Linked DNA regions of Arabidopsis thaliana. The protein of the gene in region 2 interacts with the protein of the main gene of each other region in a pairwise test. Each region holds a gene or a part of one and is shown on either strand. Other genes may lie near its edges.

Region 1 (5,786 bases), on a different chromosome or scaffold from region 2:
ATCTCATAGAAATATTTTCATGATTATCAAAACCAAACGATTTTGTTTTAAAGGAGGAAATCACACATCATCTGTTATGTCATTTCCAAATAATTCCTTCAAGATCATCATCCCTAATATAACCATTAGCATCTTCAGTTTACAAATATCTTAGCGACCAACCTCTAGCTAAACTCCATGAGCTACTCAAGTTTTTCTTTTACCTCTAAGTCTGTCCTTAACAGTGTGAAGAAGTTCCATCGCCTTGTCTAGTACATAAGCTTTAAGTTTCACCTTTCGACCTAACAGTGTGAAGAAGTTCTTTTACCTTCAAGTTGCACTGGGGACTTGATTCATACAACATACGTTGACATCAGGCTACCATTGCTAGTTCTTGTTTCGAGAGAGAAGCGGCCTATTTACGATTCAATACACATCCATGGAGGTAATATATTACAGCTAAATTTGAAGCTTTATGACAGAATCATGCATTTGCTCTGTATGTGTTTACCTGTGACACTCTTTGTGTTAAGGCTTGGCATATTGCTGTTTATGTTTTAGTAGAATGAAAATTCTTACAGAATCTGCACTGGCGAAATCTTGGTCTGCTTCACTCGTTAGAGGTGACCTTAAACTAAACTATGTGACTAGTTTTCCGTTGAGAAGTGAAGAAAGCAGCTGTCGAAGTGCAACTCAAGAAAATGGAGGTAAAATAAACTTAGCAATAGAGAGCTGATACTGTTTCAATGTGATTGAGAACAATGAGAAGTGAAGTGTTTGTGAATTTGTTTCACTGCAGGAGGAACTAGAGAAGAAGAAAGCAGGAGTATGCAGAGAGGATGAATTAGGTTTCAGTGACTCACAAGGAAGCAGAAGAAAGAAGTGCAATGATTGAAGGTAAGCGTGGAGAAGCAAGAAGAAACGGCTGCTAAAATACTGGGCCATTAGAATTGTTCCAAAGGCAACTTGTGGATGTTTCCAATCTTGAGTTTACAAATCATTTTTTCAGGATTTTTTAACTGTAAATTTCTCTCTTCTCTTCAATGGCTTGTAATGTTTTTTGTATATTGATTTTGTCTGTGAGAAACAAACAAGAGTTCATTTTCATAAAACCTTATATCAGTCGAATAATTCACCATGAGATCATTCAAATTGTGAATCCATCCATTTTCTAGAAAATCTGCAGATCATGTGACTATCTTACTTGTGATAAGACTCATCGGTACCTACTATGGTCTGAGGATCTGAAGGCTTAATAAACATGAAGACCAAGACAATTATGTAACTAGGAACAAACAATCTCACACTGAATAAGTATAGCTAGTAATGACACTTGACATATGTGGCTTTAACACTCAGGTTCCACGTAAAAGCTTCACAAAAGTATAATACAAGTTCCAGGGAGTTAGTTAGCTGATCTATTAATGGGAGGTACATTCTTCAGCAGATAGCGTCGTCTCTTAGACCGAGCACGACTCCTAAGCATCCATAAGATCACTAAGAAACCGATAAAAACCATCTGAAGAGCGAAAACAAGCTTCATACCTGGAAACAACAACAACAACAATTGTTTTTGTATCAGTTTGCTAGACAATCAAACAAAACAAATAAGCTTCCCAAGAAAAGTTGCAAAACCTTGTAGATTCTTGACCATGTCCTGAAGATTTCCTATAGTATAAAACTCCTTTGGATGAGGCGTTGAACCGAGTTGCAAGTGTATAGATTTAAGGTTGGCTCTAGGTTTGTAGATGTAGTTAACGTTACCACCCATTATACAAGTGTTGGGACAATGAATGCTACTTTCGTACTCGTCGCTTCCATCGCAGCAATCTGAGAAACAGACAATGTCATGCTGCTTATCCAATCCAACAAAAACATGTAGATTACTAGCATACAGCAAGAGACAGCTGAAACGAGAATCATTTAGTCGAATTCAGAACATTAGTAACTACTGACCACAGATTCGATCATTCACACGAGAAGAGTAAACGAACTTTGGAGAACTTCCAATGTTCCTACAGTAAAATTTGCCATTTGGACATGCCGAAGTTCCTGTAATGCAAAATCAGAAATTCAGAAACTTACTCACAAGAACACATTTTTCATAATTGAAATTGTGAAAGAGAATAAGATTCGATCAATTCTAGTCCTAAATCTTTTTATCTGGAAAGAATTTAAAGTCTCATGTCATCTCAGCTCTCTGGATTCTAAATTGAGAAAAAAGTGTGTACCAGGCTCATCGGTGCCGTCGAGACAATCGCAGAAGTTGTCGTTGAGACGATCTCTTGTGAAAGATTTGGAGCCATCTTTGCATTTGATAACATCTGAGTCGAAATACTTTTCATCTGCCTCACAACAAAGAAGTAAGTAAGAATCAGAGAACAAGAACATTTTTCAGATTTGTCGATATAATAAAGATAAGAGTCATCGAAGAAGTAACCTAAAGGGTGAACACCAACGAGGGGAGAGGTCGAAGCGACGGAGATGACGACGACGGCGAGTGACGAACACAACACGACGCATTGCAGCAGCATCCGTTGACTCGCATTTGGTTAAACCGACGTCGTTTTAAGATTCGAGTGGATTATTCCGACCAGATTCTCTCTTTACGATTTCGGCTTTTAAGTTTCAAGTTAAGAATAAGTGGAGTGGCCAGATATTTGATTCGATGGGCTTTGAATTATATTGGGCTTTGAGTTTTCATTTAATACTACAGTGTTCAGTATTCGACTATTAAGAAAAGAAAAAAAATCTACAATTCAGGTTATTATTAAAACTTGATTTAATTCTTGATTAATAAACTAAATTAATTTGATTATTTTAGTTTGGTTCATTTTTTCTTCTAAGTTTTTTTTTCAATGTGAATCAAAACTCTTACTCAAACGTTCTTAAATTGTGTTTGTACTACGGAGTCCCATCACCTCTTGGCTCTTGTTCAAGAGCAAAAAGTTGAGAAACATCCAAGCCTTCAAGAATGAGACCATCAACACCATTTTGAAATCAAGTAATGGCTGGAGAAGGCATAACAACTTGAACAGAAGAAGTTTGAACCACGAGTGAAAGAAGTGTAATTCGAAAGACTTCAAGTCACGGTTATTTGCGGTTAGCTGGTAATGAAGAATGAACCACTCTAAGAAGCAACCAACTTCTACAACATAAAACAGTTGTGAGCCGTTGTGATTTTGTAGTTAAGTTGACTGCTTTTCTTCTTATATACCTTCTTCTCTAGACTATGTCCATTTTATCTCACAAGTGATTTTTCACAAGACATTAGATCCCACGAGTCATAAGTAACACACAGAGCCAACACTTAGCACCTAAACCATTAACCTAAACAACTTTTAGTTCCTCCTTCTAGTTCTCCCTCTAAAAATCATGGACTCGGACAAGAATAGACCAACAAGACTGACTTCTCCATTATTACCCTTTTGCATCTCCTATTCATTTGTCCTAGTCTGGTCCATACACCCAAAGCAATGGACCTCAAAATATGATAAAAAAATGTGACAATACAAGTCTATTTCTTACTAACCAGTAAACCAAACCAAAGAATTTCAAATTAGAGCAACCTAAGCCTCATCCTCCTCTGTTCAAGTTGTTGTTGTTGTTCTTGCCTTCATTCTTTTCTGAGATTCTCTGAGATATGCTTCAGCTTTTCTACCTTTTAAAAGTTCCCTGAAAACCTTTGTCACAGTGGTTTGTTCTACACCATGAATCTCCTTCATGAAATTGATCATCTCAGGAAGAGTGTAGAAATTTTCACAGCAGAACAAGTAGCTATCTCTCACTTTCTCCTCTTCCTTGCTCAAAACAGGTTGACTACTTTGCTGTTCATTTACGACACAAATTGTATGAATCAGTGAGAATTAGTGAATTACAAATACGTAAAATCAAATACATAATTCATCAGCCAGAATTTTGAATTACTTGTGCTTCAGTAGTCGTCGTAACACACTTTCCCTCTGATTTCTCTGCTTCAAACGAGCTACCAGAATTTTTCGCCATTACTCTCTCTGTTGGTGATTTGCTTGTAATTTAGGGTTTAAAGAGAACAAGGATGCTCTTGTCGTCTGCTGTCTCCCTTTTTCTAGCCCAATTTTATAAACGGCCCAGTAAAGCCCAATTACATAATCTGAGAGCATTAGTGACTTGTATTGGTTTCAAGTTTCATTCACACACACACGTAGATAAGAATTGGAATAAAGAATCAATGGTGTTGCAAATGTACCTTTGAAATATGAATACACCACTTCGTTAACAAAATCCTTGTGGTTTTAAAGGAGAAAAATAAAATGCAAAAATTTACAAACCCATCTACGATTCTATCAAGAAAAAGGGCAAAGACCAGACTTGTCCATATTAACACAACACATCAAAGATCCTATCTCTTCATAATACAGTCAGAAAGAAAAAAAAAAAGAAAACAGAGGTGGCGATGGCTCTTTTGTAGAATGCTGGAGACAACTTGGAGCTATTGTTGCAGGAGTCTTGAGTTAGATTACCAATAGCTAACTTCACTCCTTACGACCTTTGGTTGGAGGAGAGGGTTTGTCTGAAGCCACTTTAAACTGTCCCATCTTCTTCTGCAGATCAGCCAGAGGGTCTTTTGAAATCTTTCCCTTAGGACTCTTCTTTCCATTTCCTACTTTAAGTTCTAGGCGATATAACGCACATGCGTCAGATTCATTGATTTGGTATTCAAAGAGATGCCACTCAAAGGGACCTGGAGGTTGTGGATCCATATAGTAAGATCTCTTCTGGCCTTCTTGTTCCTTCATCAGTTGTTTTCTTGATTCATGCCAACCTCTTCCACTGTAATCTGGAAGTGATCTTTGCTTTCGGTTTCCGCTATCATATGCTCTTCTAGGTTTGTCAAAGAAGAGCCACTCTCTAATTGTTTCGCCTTCAACCAGTTCAAGATGAAATAGCTCTGCAAGTACAAAAAATTAAGGGTCAGGCAAAAGTAAGAAACTCACATAAGGCTTCTGTTTTCAAAGAGGCAACGAAATGTTGAACTAAAACAAAGAGAGAAGCAAAACTGGGCTCTAGTGGGACAATGCTCTCACCTGCTGCGTTCCATGGGCATTTTGTGTTAACAGCTCCTTCACACACTGGGATCCCAACATTCTTACCCTGAGTCTTTGCACGAAGAGCATCAATCAATAGATTATCTTTCAAACTGATGCCCCCTGGCCTCAATACAGGTGCTGTGCCAGGCGAATCTTCATTCAGAGCTAGAGTCCCATGGTAGTTACTGCAGTAATCCAGGTACCACTCGGAGCCCTGAGCAGGCCTTGTGCAATCCCATAGTGCACACTTAGGTCCCAGAAAAGCAGATGGAGGCACACGGACACTTGATGGAGTAGAAAATTCAGCAAAGTTGTCAATCTCTTCAGAAGAATCAAGCTTAGTGGAAGGGCTGTTATCTAGTTCCTGACGCACTTCGGAGAAAATATAATCATACTGAGAAGTTATATCCAAGTTGCTGCTGAGTTTTTGGTCATGGAAATCAGGAGCGGAGTTTATGCTTGGATCAAACCCTTCATATCCATAATGGAGTTGCTGGCCATGTGTTTCTGTGCTATTAAGAGCATCCTGAGATAGAAAAGGTGAACTTGTACATAAGGAAACAAAATCAAAACTAAGACAAGAATGAAAAAGATCAAAACTCATAGCTGAACTGGAATAAAGAATCAACGGTGTTCAAATGTCTAGGAACATCTAACCAACAATCAAAAGATTATAGAAGACAATTTTGACGCAGAAACTGTATCTAGCTCACCTCAAAGCCGCAGGAGAAATTTCCG
Region 2 (5,487 bases):
TACTATTTTCATATTTGGTTTTCTTATACCAAAGCAAATTGATTATAGATGTTTTTAAGATAAATTATCAATTATAAATTTTTTAATTAAAAATTACTTTATTTGTAACTAAATTTTCTTTCAACATCTACATTTTACAAAATAATCGTATATACTGTCAATCAAATTGCTGTTTTATTTTTCTGGTCAACGATCAACAACCCAAACTTTTTATAGCTATATACGGATATACCGAGTTACTGACAAGCGACAACTATAATATCTACGTAACGGTTGCATGACTAGTAGTGACTAAAATACAAACTTAGCCAATTTTCTTTTGAAACTCTGTTTTATAACATTGTTTATACGATAGAAAATACAAAGACTTATAGAAGATCAAGAATCTGTTTACATGCAAAGAGAAGTAACTTCTTTTGCGACATTGCAATAAATCATTACAATTAAATTTACCATATACATGACAAGATCTCTCATCTTGAATCTTGATCTTGTGGATTTTAACAAAATCCACTTTATTTATCGGGTTTCTTTTGTTCTCTGCTTTGATTTCCCAAATTTAATCGACCAACTCTGAGATCCAATCAAAGTGTGACAAATCCAAATCCAAATCGGACGGCTCATAATGATCATCCACAATGCTCATCCGACTCCAACACTTCAACAACACCTTCTCCTCGTTACTATCTAAATCATCTTTCCCGCTTCTCACCGGAGACCGTGACGTGTCGTAACCCTCGTCGTCCATTCTCATCGTCACTCCATCGCCGTTTCCACCACCTCTAGCCCTCACCGGCCTATATGCGTACCTGCACCTGTGCTTTCCTTCAGACTGCCTTAGCTGCTCCGGCGCGTGGGCAAAGAAACACACTTTCCTCTGACACAAGTTCCCGGCGTTACATGCGCGTGTTCGGTAACGCGCCGGGTGGAGCCAGTACTCGAATACGCCATGTGCGAATTCGCATGAGTCGCCACGGTGGCATGCGCCATTTCGGAAAGCCGGGCATGCGACTGCACAGTAAGTGTAACGGCGAGGATCACGGCGTGTGGCTTTCTCGCCACGGTGAGCGTAGGGACACTCCGTCCAGTCGTGGCTACGAGTACGAGGACACCGTTTGATTTTGTAAGCGTACATACGGAACTCATCTGAGCCGTAGATCGCATCGTCGATGTTTGGGATCGAAGGGTCAATCTCGTAAGCTCCTGCGTTCCCAGGTTTGCTTAAAATGTACCCGAAAGTAGAGTATTGCTGCTCTCCGATATCGTAGAATGCCATTGGACTTGCACTTTTCAACATTTTTCCTTGCAATGATCTAAAGAGTTATTTTGGTTTAATAAATGTCTTTCTTTCGAAATTTAAGAAAGGAACAAAAAAAAAACTACAGAGATTTCATCTTAGGAAAATCTTAAGTAATTTAGGAAACTGAAAGGGGAATTTATAGGAAGAAAAACGAAATAAAAAGTCGAATATTTAATAATTTTACCTTTTGCAATGAAAAATGCCAAAACTATATTTTAAAGTTTAAACGTTACAGTTATTTTTTGTTGCATGCACTTATATACTGTGGATACATAATATCTTAACGGCAACGGAAGATGGTGAAAGATAAACTAATATGATTTGAAGATATATTTTTCCAGATGCAGCAGATCGTATGTAAAGTATATACAATTACAGTAATTTACAAAAATCGTCATCATGATCAACGTTTTAGAATATTTCAATATTTGATTATGGTGTTAAATGGTGTTTGATTCGTGAGAGGTAAAGTTAACAGACGTTAATAAGGGCAGCGTTTACGTGAAGGAAGAAGAGTGAAAAACATTTGGAAACACACGAGTGGTAAAAATTGCATGAGAAGGCACACGTGTAAGTGATAATCAGAAGAACTTAAAAATAATAAAGAGGAGAGGAGCACCATCTGGCACACGTGTCGAGAGGAATCCTTTAAATCCTCGACAGCCGTTTCTCTTTTGCAATCTTGGTAGGTTGGTGAGAGCATTGCTAAATCCAAAGACAATAGAAATAGTTTGCAAATGTCATTTCCATAATTTATATTTTAGTCGTAATAAATTTGATCGAAGTAGGAAATGATTATACAGCATACTATTATCACCATAAAAAGCTTATTTATCACTTTTTTATTTAGATCCGAAAAGTTTTGCGTTAAATACATTTTTTCGGAGCGAAAATCAGGCATAAATAAAGTTTTTTCTGTGCACTTGATATTCGTATCGTTTTTTCTTTATGTCCGAAAAGTTTTGCGTTAAATACATTTTCTCGGACCGAAGATAAGACAAAAACAAAACTTTTTCCTCGCATCTACTATTCAAATCGCTTTTTTGTTATATCCGAAAATTGTTACGTTAAATACATCTTTTTAAATTGAGAATCGTACGAAAATAAAGTTTTTTCATCATTTCATATCCGAATCTACTTTTTTTAAAATATGGTTTTAGATTCTAACTGTTTTAGCTATGAATTTTAGATAAAAAAATAATTTCTTTCTAATTTGTAGCTAAAACAGTTGAATCTAAAATCATGTTATAGAAAAATTGGATTCGGATATAATTGTTTTCTTTTTGTTTAGAGCCTTTACACACTAGATTAATGTCTTTATTTTTGGCAGATCTATAAAGTGACGGTTTTTAATCAGAATTTATGCCAGTTTACAAGGTTTTTTTTGGAAAGACGCGTATTCTTTTCTGAAAAGAAAAGAAGCAATTGCATGCACAAATGGTAACGTTTAAACTTTTTTCCCTAGTCTTTTTTAAACATCAAACCGCTGTCCTCCAAGTTGTAGCAGATTAATCAAAAAGAAAGGCGTCAATACAGAGTGAAAGTAGTTCTTGTGGATCTTGAAGATAATGTGAAGAACTAAATATAAAAGTTTAACCAAAGAAACACATCTCCTGATCAACTAACATGCGCAATCAAAATAGAAAGAAAAAAAAGAATAATTCGTTTTGAAAGTTTATCTCGTAAATATTTATCAAACAAAAAGGTGATTAATAAAAACCTTTCATCACTTTCCTTGAAGCTTGTATCCTCCGATTGCGTTTATTAGCCTCGCGTTTTAGTTTATTTTTTGAATGTCCGACCTCTGTGGCGGCTCCTAAGAATCCGGTCTGAGTTCCGTCGCTGTCATTGTCAATGTCTCCTTCGATCGTTAATCCTTCAATCCTAGCCGCAATGGAGTCCCCTTTCACCCCAACATCTACATCTATACGTAAAAAAATGTGCAATCATTTTATTTGACGCTACAAATCTACTTAAGAGTATCAAATATGTATGTACGTTACACATATCTATCATGTGAGTTCCGAATTGATTTTAAAAAAGAAAGATTATGTGTTTAAGGAAACTTGATTCATGGCCTTCTATCACAAGTAAATAACTGGATCAAAAAGACTAGAAGATGCAACATTCTCAAATAGATGGTTTGTTTGCACGCATAGAGAATCGAGCAAATATATATGATAGCCTAAGATCATGAATAGGGACACAATGTGTATAATTGTAAACAAACCTGGATTAGAGAAGAACCAAAGGACGAGAGCACAAGCAAGAAGGACAAAAGGGATTATGTGAACGGCGTTTTCAGCAAACTTGGTACGTGACTTCTCTTTCTTAGTCATCTCTTGGCCAGTGGGATCGTATGGAGCCGGCTCGTCTTCGTCTAAGCCCTTCCATAATCCCTTTGGTGCGGACCAAGGCACCGAGTAATCCTCGGTCACACGGTTCCAGCTCGCGGATCTGTACATATTGGGTCTATATAATCCGATCTTGTTGTGTAGAAGGGATTGGATCAGTGTCTTTACAACGTAACGAATTAAGGCTAAAAGATACTTTTGTGTCAAATCAGATAAAAATCGTAATTCTTTACTAAACAAACACCCCTTAAAAATTTATTAAATATTTGGTGGCGAATTTAGGGCCTACGCCTTTGGTAAATACAGATGGACCAGATCGATGTTAGGACTTTGTCAAAATTCTTGAATGAATCTCACTCGTTATTAATTACGTAGATTTTTTCGAATTATTATATACATATATTTATGTTTTTTTTTAAAGGTTTTTTTTTTTAAAGGGTTTATGTTTTTAAAATATTTATGTTTAAAAAAAAAAACCAATTAACCATGCATATTATATTTCTTTTCTTCTATTTGTAAATAGAAAAATATTTAATAAAAATAATCTAAATTAGACGCGCACATACATATTTGGGTGGTATTTTGATTTCAATGAATATTTGGAAATCGAGAGAATGATATGCTAATTATATATCTTACATTACAATTTAACACGTATATATGTCTCTGATATACATCTCCACGTTATCACAGGTTAAACGCCAAAAGGACATGGACTGAGTCATACCGTGTACCAAACCAAACCGGGCTAAGACCTGATCAGTCCTTTATTCTTATTCTGTATTTATTTTATTGTCCTCTTAATCAGTCCTTGATTCTGAGAGTGTCAATAAACCTATCCCCTTGAGAAATGTCATTTTTGACAAGAAAATCAAGAAAATCGTTAAAGCTGCTCTCTTTATACCGAACCGGATTTTCATCGTTAACCAATTCGCGCGGTACACTCATCTTATCGTCCATACCCAAGCTATGCAAGCTCGCGAGAGAGATTCTCGTCTTCTCTTCATTCAAAGTGACTTTATGAACGATGCTCTTGTATAATCCATTGCTTAGAACTTCCACATGGTCACCAATATGGACCTAAATAAAGAAAAAAGAGCGAAGATGCATGGTGATTACATTTTTTGTTTTGGATCTAAACGTTTCAATTATTTCTGTTTACGTCTAAACCGGTACAGTTGAAACGCACCTTAAGTACACCTGTGACTTGTGGGACACCAACCCAACGGCCAGATCCACCGTGAGCCATTGGATCGAAGATCTTGAGACCGTCCAAGTTCTGTAGAAGGAGGGTGATGCAACTATAGTCTGAATGCGGCGGCAGGCCTAGCGCCGTCTCAGGGTCCGGACAGGGTGGATAGCAGTTAACTGTCATGACTTGCATGCCGTTTTCGTCCATCCGAGACGACAGGTAGTCTCTCCCTAGACCTAGGCTTTCCGTTATTGCTCCCATTAACTCTATCGATAGTTTCCTCACTTCCTCGCAGAACTTTCCCATTTTTTCCCTGAATTATTCACAAAAACGCAAACACGTGTGTGTACTTAAATACGTATAATAGACGATTAGTACTTGCAAAATGTGATAGACATGGTCTAAAAAACGTAAAACAAAACAGAACAGTAATTATGTCTTTCTTAATTATACAATGTAAATCCTCAACCTATTCCATTATATAAAATAAATTAAGATAAAAGATGGTCAAATCATGAAATAGTTTATTTTTAAGTCAGTTCTAAATTTCTTTAATACACAGGCAACAAAACTGTTTTTTTTTTTTTTTTAATCATAAAACCCATAGGTTAGAAAGAAAAACAAAACCGTGTTCTATGTTA
Region 3 (5,786 bases), on a different chromosome or scaffold from region 2:
AATCTACATTGGATCAATTATAAATAAGTCATCCTTAAAGGTAGACAAAGTATGAGAAGAAACAAGAATGAAAAAAGAAACCATTTAAGTCTTTTCATAAATGTAGTGGACAACAAATAACGTTAGTGTAGAGAAAAAGAGAGATCCATAATATACGGCCACCCACAAACACCGACCAACCCAATTCGGCTTTTTAATTATTTATTTATTAGGGTTCTAAATTTTTAAAATATTAATGTACCACAGAACAACAGATTTACAATATGGTAAAAAACCTCAGAGTGGGATAACTGATGAGAGAGCATAGGTCAAATGAACACTTTCAGCATTCACATCCTGTTGACCTCTGTGGATTGCTGGTTCCGACATCGATCGTGTCTGGTAGGTACCTAAAAGATCGAACATCAACAAGTTTCAGACATAATCTCGAGTCGAGACCCATCAACCCGAAAAGAAAAATACCATTAACAAAGCCTATGATTGCGATTGTATGTTTTTAACTTACATTTCTTCCTCTTCTCCACTCTTCATTGCGTTCGTAGTTATGCACAGGAACGCGTCTTCTACATTGGTGCCTACTTTAGCTGAGGTTTCATAGTATGGAATGTTTCCTTTCGAAGCACACCAAGCTCGAGCCTTCTTCTCTGATACCTGAAAAACCATAAAGTGATTGGAAACAATGCAGAGAGGCTTCAAATTTCAAGGTTGTTCTTCATTACACGGAGATTATATACATACCACCCGGCTGCTTCCACCATCCACATCGATCTTATTACCGATAACAACAAAGGGAAAGTTCTCTGGATCCGAAGGACTTGCCTGCAAATCACAATTACCGCAATTTCAAGCCAAGTTCTTTCTCTTTAATCTACTAGGAAGAGAGAGTAAGATCTATATATATTTATACCTGGATCAGAAACTCTTCCCTCCAGTTGTTGAGATCCTCGAATGATTTTGCGGAGTTGACATCATATACAAGAACACAGCAATCAGCACCACGATAAAACGCAACACCAAGACTCTGAAACCTTTCTTGACCAGCTGTGTCCCAGATCTGTAAAAAAAAAGCAAGACCTTAGCTCTTATGGTCAAGCAAAGAGAGCAATATATATAGTACTTGGGATCAATTCTTAATCTAAGACACTCTTATGGTCACCCCTTTTTGTATGTTTCCTAAGTCTGATAATGCCCAAGCAGAATCACATTAGAAACCAGTATGAAGCGTTTCAATATTGGAATGACGCACAACAAATTCCAGAGAACAAAAGTGTCAATTGGTATAAGATAAGACTACATAGGGCTTAATTTCCTTCAAAGGTAAGCAGAGATAGCCTGAAGCTCATAAACTATCAACTTTTTTTATTCCAAGTTTTCCTCTGCCACTAAGGAGTCTAACTTATACCAACTGCGCTAAAATAAAATAAAAGAGGTTTACTGATAAAGCGCTGCCACAACAAACCTGTAAAGTGAAAAGCCGGTCTTCAAATTGAACTTCCTTAGTCAAGAAATCAGCCCCAATAGTTGCCTTATACTGGTTGCTGAACTTCTTATTAACATATCTAAAGGCGTGTTGTTAAAGTGAAACAGAAACACAAACTCATCTAACTCGACAAAAGGAAAGATTGTTACTCATAAAACAGAGACCAAAGAATTTATTCACATATATTTTTTTTTAAAAACATTGTAGTAGCATCCTCTTGACTCCATGCACAGAAAATTTAGGATACTGATTCATTAAAGAAGTCTTCCCAACCCTGCAAAATCACAAATTCAAAATTCTTAACTTCGATAAACACAACAATAAGACTTTTAGAGTCATAGTTCAACAGCTTCACTAGGTATCACAACATACAATATCTGATTCACAACATATTCACTCTCACTCACCAAGAAAAAAACAGGTTAACAACAAATTCTTACTTGATTGCGAACACTAGACCGAATGATTTCTTATAAAAGATTGCAAATTCCAACAGAAGGATAATACAAATGTTGAATATGATACAAGATTCACTATTCAATCTTTCCAGTAGACAACAAGAACACCAAATCTGAATCATACTGAGAGAAAAATCAGACATGACCTTAAGATAGCAGCATCATTACTTGAGACTAATTCTACTAATCTTTCATGTGATTACAAACCTTCCCACGAGAACTAATCCAATCTCTAATCATCACTTCACAATTCAATTCCAAGTAACTACAGAACAATTAAATCCAGAAGACACAGAAATCAACAACCTAAGAGATCACACCAATTCAGATCGAATCCAATCAAAAGGTAATACACAAAATTCGACTTCAATCTTCAAAAATTCGAAACCAGAAAAAGTATTTACTTACTGATCGAAAAAACACTAAATCAACATGTAAAGAGAGAAAGAGTTCCTTACCCGCTATCACCGAGGATGATGACTTTGAGGAGAGTTCTTCTACGAGAAGGCATCGAATCACGAACGATGATGGGAGAGATCTGTACAAAGACAAGAGAAAGCTCTCTGCGATTTTCTGGGTTTATGGAGAAGACGCTGTTTCCGATTATTTTCTTTCTTCTCTGCCCCCTTGATTATACTGTTGCTGACCTGTCATTTTTTTTTATAATATTATTTTCAAAGATATTTAGTGGTGATGATTTATGGATTTTAACAAAATGTATGTATATCAGTATATCCAACTAATTAACCTTATACAGAACATTTCTATTTATTTTCATACTAAAACTTTGACCTTTATTTTAGGTAAAGAATCTTATGGTTTATCCAGAATTTTATCTTCAGATTTAATAAAAAATTTGTGATTACTTTTAAATAAATAATATTATTTTGTTTGATATTATTTTATTTATCAAAACAGTACGGAGCCGTACACATTTTATTTACGATACGTATTTGCTAATTCGTTCAATGACATATTATTTTATCAAATATCGGTTTTTACCATTTTATAATTATAGTTAACTAACTACTAAATTTCTTCTTTTAATTTATATTAACGCAATGTAAATAACTTAAAAGATAGGAAATGTACGGAAATATACGAAAAAGTATAAAAAATTTAATTCTTAAATTATAAAAATAAATAAAAATACAGTTAACTATTAGCAAAAAATAAGTATTTTTGACTACAAAACCTTTATGAAATATAATTTATTTTGGAGAAATCAAATGATGTACAATTAATATATTTAATTAAATCGAGATTATACTGTAGTCAAATATTTTATTTTCCTTAATGACAAGATTAAAATATCCTTATCAAATGTTTGACCCTGTATATTTTATCTTAATTTAAAAAAAAACAGTAAAGCGTCAGAAAATAGTAATACTTAATAATTTAGGCTCCCTTCATAAAGAAACAAAAATGTTAGGGAAGGGTGATAGATGACGATAATGATCGAAGGGTTATGGGTGAAGAATGATGATGATCCAAGGGTCACAATGTCTCACACCAAAACGATACCAAGCCTCTTTAAGGTTATGACTGTTGTATGTAATTAATTAGATACATGAACGAGGACAAAAACTCTTTAGGAATGAAATACAAATTATTAAGGAAAAATATGATTACACCTTTTCAACATTTCAATGGATTCTCTTTATAAACCCTCTCTAATCACATAGATAACATCACCCATCACCACCACATATCGATAAAAAATCAGTCATGGCTTCTCCTTTGTATCCGTCTGTCTTAAACAATCCTTTATCTTCAATTGTGGTGACACGAGACGAGTTCAATGCTTTTCACACAATCGACAGAACCTTGTTCAGTCGTCTTGTCTTCAATCTAAACCGAGACGTTGACCAGTCGTTTCTAGCCATGTGTTTTCTCTTGTTCCTCGAGCAATCCAGTTATGCCCGCGACATAATCGCGTACCTTGTCTCGTTACCAAACGCTTTTGTCGACGCGGTGGCTAACGAAATCGGTGTGTGTATAAATTTGTTATACAACGTAGAGTTTGCATCAACGTTCTTCGCTGCTGACAACGATGATAACTCCATGATACCATTGCTCTTACGTATTACTGGAGGAAAGTTTACTCTCAGATTGATCAACCAACAACGCAAAAACTTTTGCGCTGGAGTGACAAAGAGTTGGACCGATGTTTGCACTCGAGCATTCTCAGATTTATGCGAGACAGCTCATAGGATCAACAGGGAGAAACAATTGGCTTTAGAGAGAGAGAAATTCATAGAGGATATGAAGAAACTCAGGTTGAGTCTCCAACAAGAAAAATCTAATAGGTTAAGTGTACAACAAGTAAAAATTGCTTCTCCTCCTCCTCCTCGTCCTCATCCTCCAGTTGAAGACGAAACAGAAAAGGCCCTTAGAGAGAAAGAGACAATGGAGGTAAAAGAGAAGGAAGGTGTGCTGGCGGCAGATGATCGGACGGTTTTCCTGACGTTTTCAAAAGGGTATCCGATCTCGGAAGCGGAAGTAAGGGTTTACTTCACTAGGAGATTCGGGGAAGTGATAGAAGCGGTAGAGATGCAAGAAGTTGAAGCAAACGAGCAGCCATTGTTTGCGAAGATGGTGATGAAACTGCAGTGTGCGTCGATGATGGATGAGATTGTGAGTGCGAGGTTTAGAAACAAGTTCACCATCGATGGCAAACATGTTTGGGCTCGTAAGTACGTTCGCAAGAATCCTTATCCAGCTTCATCCTCTACTCATTTTTGAGTGTTTCTGAACTTCTTATTTACATGTTGTGCTTGTTGATGTTGTCGTTGTTGTTGTTTATCTAATAAAATTGTGTCGTCAATCTTATTATTGTGCTACACATTAATATATGTTTAAATTGGCGAGTACAATTACTTTTTTACTAGTTGGTGTTATTTTTATATATTTTGAATCATACAATGTTTGAGAAATATAACGCCGGAAAACTTCCAAGAACAAATGTATATCTATGTATAATTAAATTCATAAGATAAAATAAAAAAATAATATATGATTGGCTAATTATCAGTTTCTATATATTTAATTATTATTAATTAATTGATAGTTTTTTTTATTTGTTTGGTCTTTTGTTATAGGATATTTGATTTAGTATAGTCTGTCAAATAATCAAGAAGATGTTGTGCCAACATCCTCCATTAGCATCATCGCTCCGAAATGTTTTATCTAAGGTCATGTTACTTAGAATTTGTGTTGAATGATTTAATTACAAAATCTACATCGTAATTATATTTGAGTTTTAAAAATGTATATTTTTATGTTGTATACTTTTTAAAATCGACGTAGCAATTTAATTATTAGTCAAAATAAAAATGAAAATATGATTAGTTCATAGATAACTGTATCGTTGTCGTTTTTAGAATTTTTGTTATTACGTGGGATATACTCCATCCGTTTTAAATGAAGTGTTGTTTTAGAATAAATGCAGTTTTAAACCGATTAATATACTACAAGAACAAGGTTTTTCTTTTCCTTCTTCGATGAAACCATATTGGTGTTACCCTTTCTTCTTTGGATTTGGATTCAAAATGGTTTTAGAAATAGAAATAAACTATCATTGACTCATCCATCTAGATGGAAGGTCGGGATACCTTAAATAATAAAACACGTAGAACACGTAGTAATAATAATGATTAGAAACTAAAAGTTAATCGTAATGATCAATAGTATCTTGCCAAGGTTAGAACACTTAGATGAAAGTAAGCTTGACACATATGGTATCTGTGGTTATGAAAAACATTATGAAAAAGTTGTGCACATGTTGAATGAAGCAGTTGCTTATCTTCTTTCACCTATATTTATTTAATAAAATGATGATAGGATTA

The links.
Region 1: the proteins of AT5G07490 (region 2) and AT2G42390 interact in a protein complementation assay, tested with the Arabidopsis thaliana proteins (one large-scale study listed by BioGRID).
Region 3: the proteins of AT5G07490 (region 2) and RABG3E interact in a protein complementation assay, tested with the Arabidopsis thaliana proteins (one large-scale study listed by BioGRID).

Annotation. Positions count from the first base shown.
Region 1 is NC_003071.7:17,649,997-17,655,782, forward strand, and holds AT2G42390 (kinase C substrate, heavy chain-like protein), read right to left. Parts: upstream 2,648-5,786; 5' UTR 2,514-2,647; coding exon 2,420-2,513; intron 2,325-2,419; coding exon 2,211-2,324; intron 2,032-2,210; coding exon 1,936-2,031; intron 1,810-1,935; coding exon 1,615-1,809; intron 1,525-1,614; coding exon 1,385-1,524; 3' UTR 1,110-1,384; downstream 1-1,109. Other genes in the region: AT2G42395 (uncharacterized protein), read right to left, coding at 3,570-3,806, 3,907-3,984; VOZ2 (vascular plant one zinc finger protein 2), read right to left, coding at 4,494-4,909, 5,046-5,574, 5,762-5,786.
Region 2 is NC_003076.8:2,368,526-2,374,012, reverse strand, and holds AT5G07490 (uncharacterized protein), read right to left. Parts: upstream 3,881-5,487; 5' UTR 3,766-3,880; coding exon 3,531-3,765; intron 3,225-3,530; coding exon 3,010-3,224; 3' UTR 2,687-3,009; downstream 1-2,686. Other genes in the region: PEI1 (Zinc finger C-x8-C-x5-C-x3-H type family protein), read right to left, coding at 560-1,297; KUOX1 (KAR-UP oxidoreductase 1), read right to left, coding at 4,459-4,734, 4,844-5,159.
Region 3 is NC_003070.9:18,231,505-18,237,290, reverse strand, and holds the start of RABG3E (RAB GTPase homolog G3E), read right to left. Parts: upstream 2,568-5,786; 5' UTR 2,450-2,567; coding exon 2,397-2,449; intron 1,755-2,396; coding exon 1,728-1,754; intron 1,560-1,727; coding exon 1,460-1,559; intron 1,055-1,459; coding exon 908-1,054; intron 820-907; coding exon 739-819; intron 652-738; coding exon 506-651; intron 390-505; coding exon 323-389; 3' UTR 276-322; exon of another isoform or gene 4-275; 3' UTR 1-3. Other genes in the region: AT1G49290 (Rho guanine nucleotide exchange factor), read left to right, coding at 3,667-4,683. UniProt on the Arabidopsis thaliana protein: Intracellular vesicle trafficking and protein transport. May play a role in adaptation to stress by recylcing macromolecules in specific cellular compartments.